Tribolium castaneum: one gene and its partners. The protein of the gene in region 2 purifies or fractionates together with the protein of the main gene of each other region. This does not show direct contact. Links are inferred from orthologs where the notes say so. Each region holds a gene or a part of one and is shown on either strand. Other genes may lie near its edges. The genes, in order: chromobox protein homolog 3, RYBP and CkIIbeta.

Evidence for each region.
Region 1: the proteins of RYBP (region 2) and chromobox protein homolog 3 purify together in Homo sapiens (affinity purification with mass spectrometry; 4 studies listed by BioGRID and IntAct, with this or other methods). This does not show direct contact. The link is inferred for Tribolium castaneum from reciprocal best matches to the Homo sapiens genes YAF2 and CBX3.
Region 3: the proteins of RYBP (region 2) and CkIIbeta purify together in Homo sapiens (affinity purification with mass spectrometry; 5 studies listed by BioGRID and IntAct, counting the BioPlex papers as one, with this or other methods). This does not show direct contact. The link is inferred for Tribolium castaneum from reciprocal best matches to the Homo sapiens genes YAF2 and CSNK2B.

Annotation. Positions count from the first base shown.
Region 1 is NC_087401.1:16,339,837-16,342,666, reverse strand, and holds chromobox protein homolog 3, read right to left. Parts: upstream 1,522-2,830; 5' UTR 1,365-1,521; intron 1,313-1,364; 5' UTR 1,307-1,312; coding exon 779-1,306; 3' UTR 568-778; downstream 1-567. Other genes in the region: macrophage migration inhibitory factor homolog, read left to right, coding at 99-206, 254-426, 471-549; beag (protein Red), read left to right, coding at 2,019-2,724.
Region 2 is NC_087396.1:24,591,019-24,594,911, reverse strand, and holds RYBP (YY1-associated factor 2), read right to left. Parts: upstream 2,403-3,893; 5' UTR 2,299-2,402; coding exon 1,858-2,298; 3' UTR 1,788-1,857; intron 828-1,787; 3' UTR 541-827; downstream 1-540. UniProt on the Homo sapiens protein: Binds to MYC and inhibits MYC-mediated transactivation. Also binds to MYCN and enhances MYCN-dependent transcriptional activation. Increases calpain 2-mediated proteolysis of YY1 in vitro.
Region 3 is NC_087397.1:979,911-983,723, reverse strand, and holds CkIIbeta (casein kinase II subunit beta), read right to left. Parts: upstream 2,572-3,813; 5' UTR 2,428-2,571; intron 2,220-2,427; 5' UTR 2,216-2,219; coding exon 2,144-2,215; intron 2,094-2,143; coding exon 1,991-2,093; intron 1,941-1,990; coding exon 1,749-1,940; intron 1,700-1,748; coding exon 1,510-1,699; intron 1,238-1,509; coding exon 1,129-1,237; 3' UTR 625-1,128; downstream 1-624. Other genes in the region: mitochondrial import inner membrane translocase subunit Tim17-B, read left to right, coding at 1-125, 170-523. UniProt on the Homo sapiens protein: Regulatory subunit of casein kinase II/CK2.

The DNA of each region.
Region 1 (2,830 bases), on a different chromosome or scaffold from region 2:
TTTGTATAAATTCCCGCCCCCCCCTGGGAGGTCACCCAGAGGTCAATTCTGACGTCCATTTCTAGGTTATAAAAACACCGCCAATTTTTTTCCGCAAAATGCCTCACTTTCGCGTTGAGACAAACGTGCCCCAGAGCAAAATCCCGTCCGATTTGCCTCAGAAATTGTGCCAAGTTGTTTCAAATTCCTTATCAAAGCCACTCAATGTAAGTTTGAGGTTACGTCAACTTTGAATAACTCAATTTTTTTCAAGTATTGTGTGGCTACTGTGATCGGAGACGTCCACATGTCTTGGGGGGGCACCAGTGAGCCCGCCGCTCAAGCCACTCTGATGAGCATTGGCGCCTTGGGCGTGGAACCAAACAAAAAGCACGCCAAGGCTTTGTACGAAGTTGTGTGCAAGGAATTGGGGGTTTCGAAGGACCGGTAATTGGGTCTTTGGTGTGGTTTTGTACTTTTTGTGTTTCTAGGATGTATATTCACTTCGTGAACGCGCCGACTAGCGATGTGGGGTACAATGGGACCACTTTTCATGATATTTTCGGGTGATAAGTGATAACGAAGCAATGGTGTTTTGTTTTATTTCAAATAAAAAAAATTATTACAATTTTCTATTGATTAAGTCAAGAAACTAAACTTACAGCTAGGGAGTCAGATTCAAATAATAATAATACGGGAAGATTCTAAACGCCTACTTAGTCCAAATGATTTTTTCGTCTAATAATAGTATATAATTCGTGTTGAATATGTACATTATGAATATCCTTACAACTAGCCTTCACTCGGCTTTATTTTCGTCATTTGTGGGCGAATGCCAAGTGAGACGCTCTTCATAGAACCTAATGACAACTTGGGGGCACTTAATATTCGCCTGTTTCGCGGGCACTAAGTCCGCCTCATCTGTACCCTCCCACTTCATGAGGAACATCAACTGCCCGGAACTATCCGTGGCCCCGATTATTTTTTCGGGCTCTAGCCCCCTATCAAACCCGTGCACTTTCTTCTCGTCGTTCTTCCTCTTGGCCCCCTTCATGTCGGGCGTCGGCGTGCTGTTCATCTTGCGCTTCTTGCTGCGCTCCTTGTCTTTGTTGGCCCTTTCGGCCTCGAAAGCCGCAATCAGCCCGGGACAGTCCAGGTTCTCCTCGGGCTCCCATGTGTTGTCCTTGTCGTCGTAACCGATCCATTTCAAGTAGTATTCCTTAATACCGGCCGCATTTATCCGACTGTCGATTATTTTCTCCACAACGTACTCTTCGTTGGCCTCTTGGTCTGCGGGGGAAGGACTCGTCCTCTTGCTTTTGCTCATTGTGCCCTGATGGAGAAAACACACTGTACACACCGGGGGGCGCACGGGGCACACTTACGCCGAATTTTACTCAACTTTGGAGGGATTTCGTGCAAGAAATTAAAATAACTTCAAAAGCCGCAAAACAGACGCTTTGCTCACAATTTTCAAACAAACATGGCGGAGGTGCGCTCCGCCGGTAACAAGCAGGTTCCTACACCCCTATTTACTAATTTAATGAATTAAAAGCCCCAAATAGTGATATTTCCGGTGAATTATTTATTATTCAAGCCGTTTGCGTTTATTCACCGTAACGTAAAGCCCCCCCAGTATGAAAAAAACGGTGGTTAGGCGCCCCAACTGAATCTGCACTTTTTGGTTTGAAACTTTGATAAATTTTGTTTGCAAAAAAAAATACGTGTAGGTTTGCAAAAATACTTAATTAAATAATTACTAAGTGTTAGTTGTGGGACAGGGTTGGAAAGTTGTTTTTTTTTTAATTTTTTCTACGTGTTATCGACAAGAATTTGCTGTTTTTCCTTGATTATTTTGGTTAATTATTCGCGATAGTAATTGTAGTAAATGCAAAAAGCTTGTTTTTAGCATTTTGGGGCTATTTGGTCTCATTTGAAGTGGTTCACTGTAATTTTTTTCTGGCTAGGAGGAAGCAAGGTTATGTGATTGACAGTTGACAGTTCTAGTTGCAACATTCAGGCCCAGTTTTTGGTTAAAAATGCCTTCGGACGCGGCCCCCGGGTCGCAGCGGCTGACCAACGACGACTTCCGCAAGTTGTTGATGACCCCGCGGTCGGCGCCCGCGAACGCGCCCGCCCCCGGCTCCATCCGGGAGGCGATGGCCAACTCGTCGACGATGCCGCCCCCCAAAGACGACAAGAACGAGGCGCGACGCAAGAAGAAGAGCTACTACGCCAAGTTGAAGAAGCAGGAGGACAATAAGATGGCAGAACTGGCGGAGAAGTACCGAGACAGGGCCAGTGAGCGCCGCCAGGGGGTGAACCCCGACTACCAGAGCGACGACCCGGTGGCCACGGCTCAGGCCTATCGTGCCGTGGCGCCTGATCTGAAGTCGGGGTTCGATGCGGCCGAGAGGCGCCGACAGATGATTCAAGAGAGCAAGTTCTTGGGGGGCGATATGGAGCATACGCATTTGGTGAAGGGGCTGGATTATGCCCTGTTGCAGAAGGTGAGGAGCGAGATACAGCACATCGAGCAGGAGCAGGAGCAGGAGTTGGAGAGGCTGGCGGCCAAGACGGAGGAGAAGGAGAAGAAGGAGGTGCAGAAGAAGGATGAGGATGAGCTTAAGTTTAAGACGAAGATTGGGAAGTCGATTTACCACACGATTTGTGCGCTGAAGAGTCGGCATATTGAACGGTCGGAGATTTTTGTGCCCGGACGCATGGCCTATGTGATTGATTTGGGTATAGATAAATTTTTTTCTTATCAATTTTTACACATAAACTACGTATTATAGATTATGTCTGAAATTTTCAGCTGTTCAAGCCTGTAATTCTTATAGACATCTTC
Region 2 (3,893 bases):
TTTAAAGATAACAATTTCTAACTTACCTGTTGATATAAGCTTTGAGGACGTCTGTCATATTTGATTCTGAATGTTAATTAATTTACCGTAAGTGAAGCGTAATTTGTGATTTCTGGTATCAGTCGTTTCAATTATTTTTGATTAATTCAAGTTGTAACACAATTAATATTCAAAAGGCCAATTAATATCAATATTATTAGTGACAGAACTTATACAATCAGGTAATTTGATGGCGATTACTCAAGTGTATGCATATACTAGATGGAATGAAAACCCTAACCCCTATTAGCTCACCATTATCAATTGTACAACTCTTTGGGTTCACCACTAAATAAATCATTAAATTTTAAAACACATTGAGTACGTGAAATTTTAAATATCTGATAAGTTATTTTTAAGTAAACAATATTAATGCATTATTTAGTACATAATAAATTATGAAAGTAGCACGCGACTGTTTTCAACACAACCAAAAAAAAATATTAATAACGTTGCATTGGCAAGTAGATATCCACTTAAATTAAAAATGAAAGTCACTGAAAAATAGAAAATTTCGAATTTATTCATCACACACCATTTTCCATCAAACAAACATACGGACATCACTCATAAATACATTAACAATGAGCAACAATTTATAATACAAATTAGCTATTTCGAATATTATTACATAATATAAATGCATTTAATGCGGGTATATAAAGTCCTTCACAGTCTTTACTCGATAAAATTTTCTTCGAAACCCGAAAAAGTAAATCGTCTACGTTGAACAACAGCTGGTTGGGGCAGTGACAGCTAGGAATCGAGTACTATCTCCGTTGGCTCCTCTGATGATAGTCAAAAACATACAGGGTGAGTCGTTAAACGCCGATTCTTTCATTCCCTTCTTATAACTTAAGCGCCCAACAATTAGTGGAAGTTGTAAGTAATTCAAAGTTTTCAAACCTCCGGTTTCCGAAAGATTCATCAAACACCATATAGATTCCGTTTCATTCAAGTTAAAAAAAATGTGAATACGGTGTTGTCGGTTTTTTCCTCTTGAACGCGCTTTCATTTTTATTAAAAAAGTCTCAAAACCTTCATTACCGATGTGGAAATAATGCTTTTTTTAATATAAAAAATCAAGATGAAAAAACCTCAAGGAAAAAAAGAACGAATTTATCTCGTGCTTTGGACCCAATTTAGTATTTTTTGAATTCAAATTTCGCGAATAAGTGAGTTTCTGATTGAAAAATGCACTAAAACCTTACACAAATTTGATAATTTTTTGATTCATGATGAAATTCGGCGAAAATTTCTATATTTACAGTAAAAAAGAATTTAGTCACGTGATTACGAATTTAATTGCGGATTAAATTAATGACGCTTTGAAAAAATTCACACAGTACATACAAAGAAATAAAAAGAAGCTACAATAAACGCAAATTTTTTGAGTGATATTTGGTTTTCGTTTCATACTTTATTTTACTTTATTATTTATTATTTTACTGACCATTTATTAATAAGTAATTAAAGCGTCTCTTTGACATTGTGTGCATTCGAAATAATCAAATAATTGCATTTATTTACGAAAAAAAAAACAATCCTTTATGAACTACACAAGATAATGAAACAGAGACAACAATGTTACACTACAAAAAAGAGAAAATAACCTTAACAAATATTTAAAACAATCTCACTTCCGGAGTTGATAATCGCAAATATTTCGTATACAAAGCTTCCACTAGTCGTTTGTTTGCGTTTAAATCATAAGAGGGCAACGAAAGACGGTGCGTTTAATCACTCACCCTGTATATACAATCAAAGTAAAGTCGACGTCAGGCGTCATTGTCCTTCGAGTCACTGACACGCCACCCTTCACCTCGCGTCCATGCTGCTCTCCGAGTGCGATCCATGATCCGAAGAGCTGGAGCTGGAGATCGTCTCCGTGGACTTGCTCTTGGGCTTGTACTCGGTGATGATGACCGTGACGCTGTTGACGGTGACTTCGCGTGTCTGCGCCGTACTTCTGTCCACATTCTTGAGTCTTGGTGGATGGCGCCGTTTCTTCATCGCCTTCTTGTCCTTTTTCTTCTGTTGGCTGGTGGCGGGTAGGAATTGGCTGGCGACCTGCTGGGCCACCAACTGCGGGTTGATACGCGGCTTGCGCGTCGAGGTGCCCTTCCGGACGTCGCACATCAGGCATTTGAACGCCTCCGCTGTGTTCCTGAACGTGCACACGCTGCAGTCCCAGAAGTTCTCCTCGAGCACCTTTGCTTGACGTTTTGCGCGTCGGATTGGGCTTTTCTTGTGGTCCATTGTGGGATAATTCACTTTTTACGAGATTGCTGACAGCCAAAACACACGTCTAACGCCATGATTGACTCGAGTTTGACAGGAGAATGGTGCGCATGTGTGGCAAAGGGTGGCAGCATTGTGGCGCCGAGTTTGATTCGAAGGAATCAGCTGATTTCAATTTACAACTGGAAAACTAAACTCGGAGCGGTTTTGCATTTATTTGCATTTTTTTTAAATGGCTAATTTTAAAAATGTCTCATTATCAAATAAAACCTATCTTATTCGATAGATTTTGATGTGCTCTTTACGATGGAAAAAAGCATTTTTCCTAGCTCTTTTAGTTTGGCGATAATCGGCGTTTGAAAAATGATTTTTTTTTCAAGATATCGCCTTGAAACCTATGTCATTTTTGTAGGGCTTTTTATTCCGATTCTCAGTGATTTTACCGTTTTTCTCTGACTCTGTTTAACAGTTTCGCTTTAATCGGCGGTTAAAAATTTAAAAAAAAAGTGAAAATGGCGACCTTTTTTGCGTTTTTTCTGGAGTTTGTATGACCTAGAGCAACAAACAAAAAAGCAGCTGATAGCGCCTAAAATTATCTATTTTCATCATTTGACAATTTTTCCATTATTACATTTACAAAAATTTACTACGTCATTGCTGTTGTTTAAAAATTAAATCACCAGGTTTTTTTAAATCTAGCTTTGTATTTTATTCTTTCTCAAGTAAATTCTTGCATAACTGTTTTGTATTTTCTCATAATAAAATCATTGGATTTCTTCTGTGTATGCCTATTCGTGTCCTGTCATTGTAAGTTAATTTACTGACGATAACACTTGCTATTTTTACGATTTCCAACAATTTTTCGTTTCTTTTTTTTCAGCTAGGATAGATCTTCTATAACAATTAAAGCTCTCATGGAAATAATACCTAAAACATTAAATTGTTTTGATCATGGTTTAATTAGCATATTTCATATGATATAGAATCAGATAAATGAAATTATATAAATTAGTTCTGTACTACAAATAAATTTAGAATCCGATATGATCACAATAGTACTGCGTCTGAAATGCAGAAATTTCCCTTGAAAAATGCATTTTCTATTGTTGCATTTTATTCAACGTTTGTTATGAACAATCTCCGTACTCCAAATAGGAAAATTGCGCTCGTTACTGCCGCATAAATTATTCGTTCATTAAAATATGTTAATTTTAATTTAACTAACGCTGTAATTAAATTCAAAGGGTTCAGTTGCAGCAACACTATTGCATTTTTTCCGTTCAAGGTAATCGCTCATTATCACGAAATAATTAACAATAAGCGGGTTCACACAGATTTCTACAAAATATAAGGCAATATCCACGTCTTTATAATCCGGCTCATAAAAGGTATTGCCTAATGTACAAGCAGGACAAAACAAGGACTCTTGGATGGTGCATTCATGGCAAAGTTTTGACTGACAGCAACGTAAGAGAGCTTACACGATAGAATAGCGGATCCACGTCTTTGTTGGGTCGATCTAGCCCACATTACGGGATTTTGGACCTTAAGAAATCGACCGAAAAGCACCACATTCCATAATTCACTGTAATGTTCGTTTCCAGAATGATTTT
Region 3 (3,813 bases), on a different chromosome or scaffold from region 2:
AGCCATGCCCCTGGAGGATCGTGGACGATTGTGGGGGCGCCTTCACTATGGGGCTCATCGGCGGCGGCGTTTTCCAGAGCATTAAAGGCTTTCGCAACGCCCCTTCGGGTTTCAACAGACGATTTGTATGTGCCCCCTTTCACAAGCCCGTGGTGATTTTGCGTTTTAGGTTGGCAGTTTGGCTGCTATCAAGCAACGGTCCCCTATAATCGCCGGCAACTTTGCCGTTTGGGGCGGCATGTTCTCCACAATTGACTGCGCCCTAATCCACATTAGGAAAAAGGAGGACCCCTGGAACTCCATTATAAGTGGGGCCGCGACTGGGGGCATCCTCGCGGCGAGAAACGGGCTCCCGGCCATGGCCGGGAGCGCCTTCATTGGGGGCGTTTTGTTAGCTTTAATTGAAGGAGTCGGGATTTTGTTCACTAGGTTGTCAGCGGAGCAGTTCCAGCCGCAGATGCCCCCCATGGAGGACCCCTCCCAGCTGAGGGGGCAACAGAACGGGGGCTACTCGTTCCAGTAGGCGCGCGTGTGTTTGTAGATAAATTTTTGTTTAAGGCGTAAATATAAGTTTATTTTGATCTGTGTTTTATTTATGTAATGGGTCAAATAAAGATTCTTACGAAAAACAGAAAATTTTATTTGATAACATGCGAATTCATAACTTAGTCTTGGTTGTGATTACCTTAAGTAAAAATACAGAACCTAGGTTTGCTTCCTATGTTTTATTTAAAATGTGTTATTTATACATCTTAGATTACGCTGTGTGATTGAAAAATTCAGACTTTTGACCACTCTATTTACTAATTAAGCTCAGGCATGACACACCAACTCATCTGAATTTTTTAATCAGTTATTTACAAACTTGAATGCTAGTTAATTTTACACGAAACCGGTGACGCTTCTAAATTAAACTATCCTTACATTTATAAAAACAAAACTGGGAAATTTATTATACATTGAACCCTATTTATAAAAATGATGGAATTTTTGCACATTTTTAACCTTATGCAAAGTTAACGCCATACAAAAGTATGAAAGAAAATAATCAAGATTTAATTTCATACATACAAGAATACACAAATTTGGGGTAGAAATAAATTAAATCAAATGTATACACCTTTTAAATTAACGTTTACCATTATTAAAGTTCAAACTTCTCAGAGGCGCCTTAAAAGTCGAGGCTGCTTGCTGTTGCAACTGGTAAGCAAGGGGATGAATTTTAAAACCAAATAACCTGAAATCATTTGTTGAAGAACAATTCTAAAAAAATCAAGTGAGTCTAAATAAAAGCGGGGTCAAGACAATGCTTTAAAAACAACGAAATAAAAAAATGACTAATTTTTCGTTTCGTGTAAAGTTATTGAGGATTATTATACGTAACATCCCAAAAATTCCGAAATGAAGTAGGTTTTGACTTCTCAGTTGTCACTTGATAACTGACAATATTAAATTCGCCAAGCACTCTTGACCAGACTTTCAATTAGACTCACGCCAGTTCGGCTATACCTAGGAACAAATTGATTTGTTGGACGCTTTGGCCTGTATTCTGGGTGCACCATGAAGAGCATGTGAGGGAAACCTGTCCCAAAATAGGCCCCATCTGTATGGTGGTGCCTTGAAGACTTTGGTGTGTACACATCCATACATTTGGGGCAATATGACTTGACCATTGCCTCCCCAGGTACATCAGACAGCCCTAAAGCACAAACCATTACCCAAAAAAATACCAAAAGTGTTGGGGTTACCCAAAGGCAGCATTGCCTGCGATTCGCAGTAAACTCGTGGACAATACCCAAAATCCCCAGACTGGTATTTTTCAATCATTTGGGCGATCCCCCGATTTGTTAAAATGTACCTAGCGTGTATTAACCCATAAAGCATCTCGGCCGCTTGCTCAATCAGGTCGGATTGGTTCGGATTATCGTCAAGTTCATCATCTAAAAAGCCGAGTTAAAAAAATGTGAAACCAGGGATGGGTTCAAAATACCCGGTTCTAAGTCTAGTATCATATCAAGAGCTTGCCTGTAGTGCGGAACTTGCTCATTCAAGCCCGTCAAGTTAAATTTGTCCTGTATATAATCCTCATCCACCTGCAAATACACTCAAAAATCTCGTCTTTAAAACAGGCAAATTCATTTACTTCGCAAAAGAATTCATTTCCTCTAAGTCCGCAAAACCATGAAATCCACGAAACCTCCTCTGAGCTGCTCATTTTCCTAAAACATTTCCGATTTATTTAGAAAATTGGAATTTTGAGACGGTTGTGGCTGTCCAACCCTATGTTTAGATTACGTTTAATGACATTTGTGACACAACTACGACGTTAATTTCCCATTTTTGGGCTTAGAAGGGATGTGGAGGGTTGGCAAATGACGAGATTAGGGCTAAATTGTGATCGGGGAAAGAAATATTTGAGAATTTTACCTCTTTGTACCTTGATTAGCCACGCTTACGCTACTTCATCTACGCGAAAAAAGAGTTGATGTTGGGCTCATCTAGCGGAAAGTGACGGCATTAAATGACAGCTTTAACCGCTAAGTTTGAAAATTACAAGTGGGATTTTTTAACTACAGTTAAACCTCAGAACGGCGTGCACAACTTATCACACACGCAAACGGGGTTGCATCCAAGAAAAAATCAAAAATAACTCACCCTCGCGCTCACCCTGTATTTTTTTCTATCCATACAGTAGTATTAATTAATCAAAAATATTCACTTATAAAATGTTTTTTTTATTTTCAATACAATGTACCGTTATCAAAATTTCATATCAACTTCATTAATCAACATATTATGTAATAACTTTTGCACTTTTGCATTCATGTGTGTCTTAACTTATTAAATGAGACTTTTTCCAAGATTTTTTTCAACTTGGCATTTTCAAAATAGGCAGTTTAAGACTCCGCCCGGCATTATAAATCTTCTACAATCTTCTACATTAATGTATTACTTCTTTTCAAACCTGCTAAGAGCGTTTTTTAACATCAGCAATTCTTCTTTCTCCAAAATTATTATTATTATTATTATTATTATTATTATTATTATTATTATTATTATTATTATTTTTATTATTTTTATTTATTTTTTTGAGCTCATTAGGATAGCTTTTTAGCTGCTTATTAAAGTTTTTTTTGAAAATGTTCAGCACGTTTGTTGCAACTTTTCGAAAAGTGTGGATGTGTTTCCAATAAAAATCTCTGTATAAACACTATAATTTTTTTCTGAAAATAAAAATGACCGATTTGCGCTCCGCTCTCTAAACATAGTCAACCATAAATAATTTTCTTTTGATGACATTATGTAACCCAAAACCGTGAAAACTAGATAAAAATAGTGAAAATCGGATCATTTCCCTATTTTTAGTTTGCGCAGACGGCCGGTCTAGTCGAAGGCTTTCCTAGGCGCCGCGACGTCGTCACCCGAATTATTAAGTGACATTTAATTCCATTTGAACCGGACAATAAACTTTTAACCGCCTATTGTTAGTTGAAAAGTGAAAACCCAATCTACTTTTAGAAATCTGCTTGCACAAGTGGGACGTGCTAGTTGCGGTTTTTGAAGACTGTTGACTCATAAATAAATTCTGGCTCTTTTGTTATCATTATTTAAACAAAGGCTAAATTACACCAAAATGTAGTAATTGGTTTATTGTGATTGTTAATTGCGAGTCAAGGTTGTAGCAGATTATTTATTGTTCGGCTTCATTCTCTTGTGCGGGAGAGTGTTGTAAACAAACAAGTGGTTATAATACATTGCATTTTCTTCCACGGTGTGTTTAGTTAATTGGAAGGTTGTTGTCGCTTGTACTGT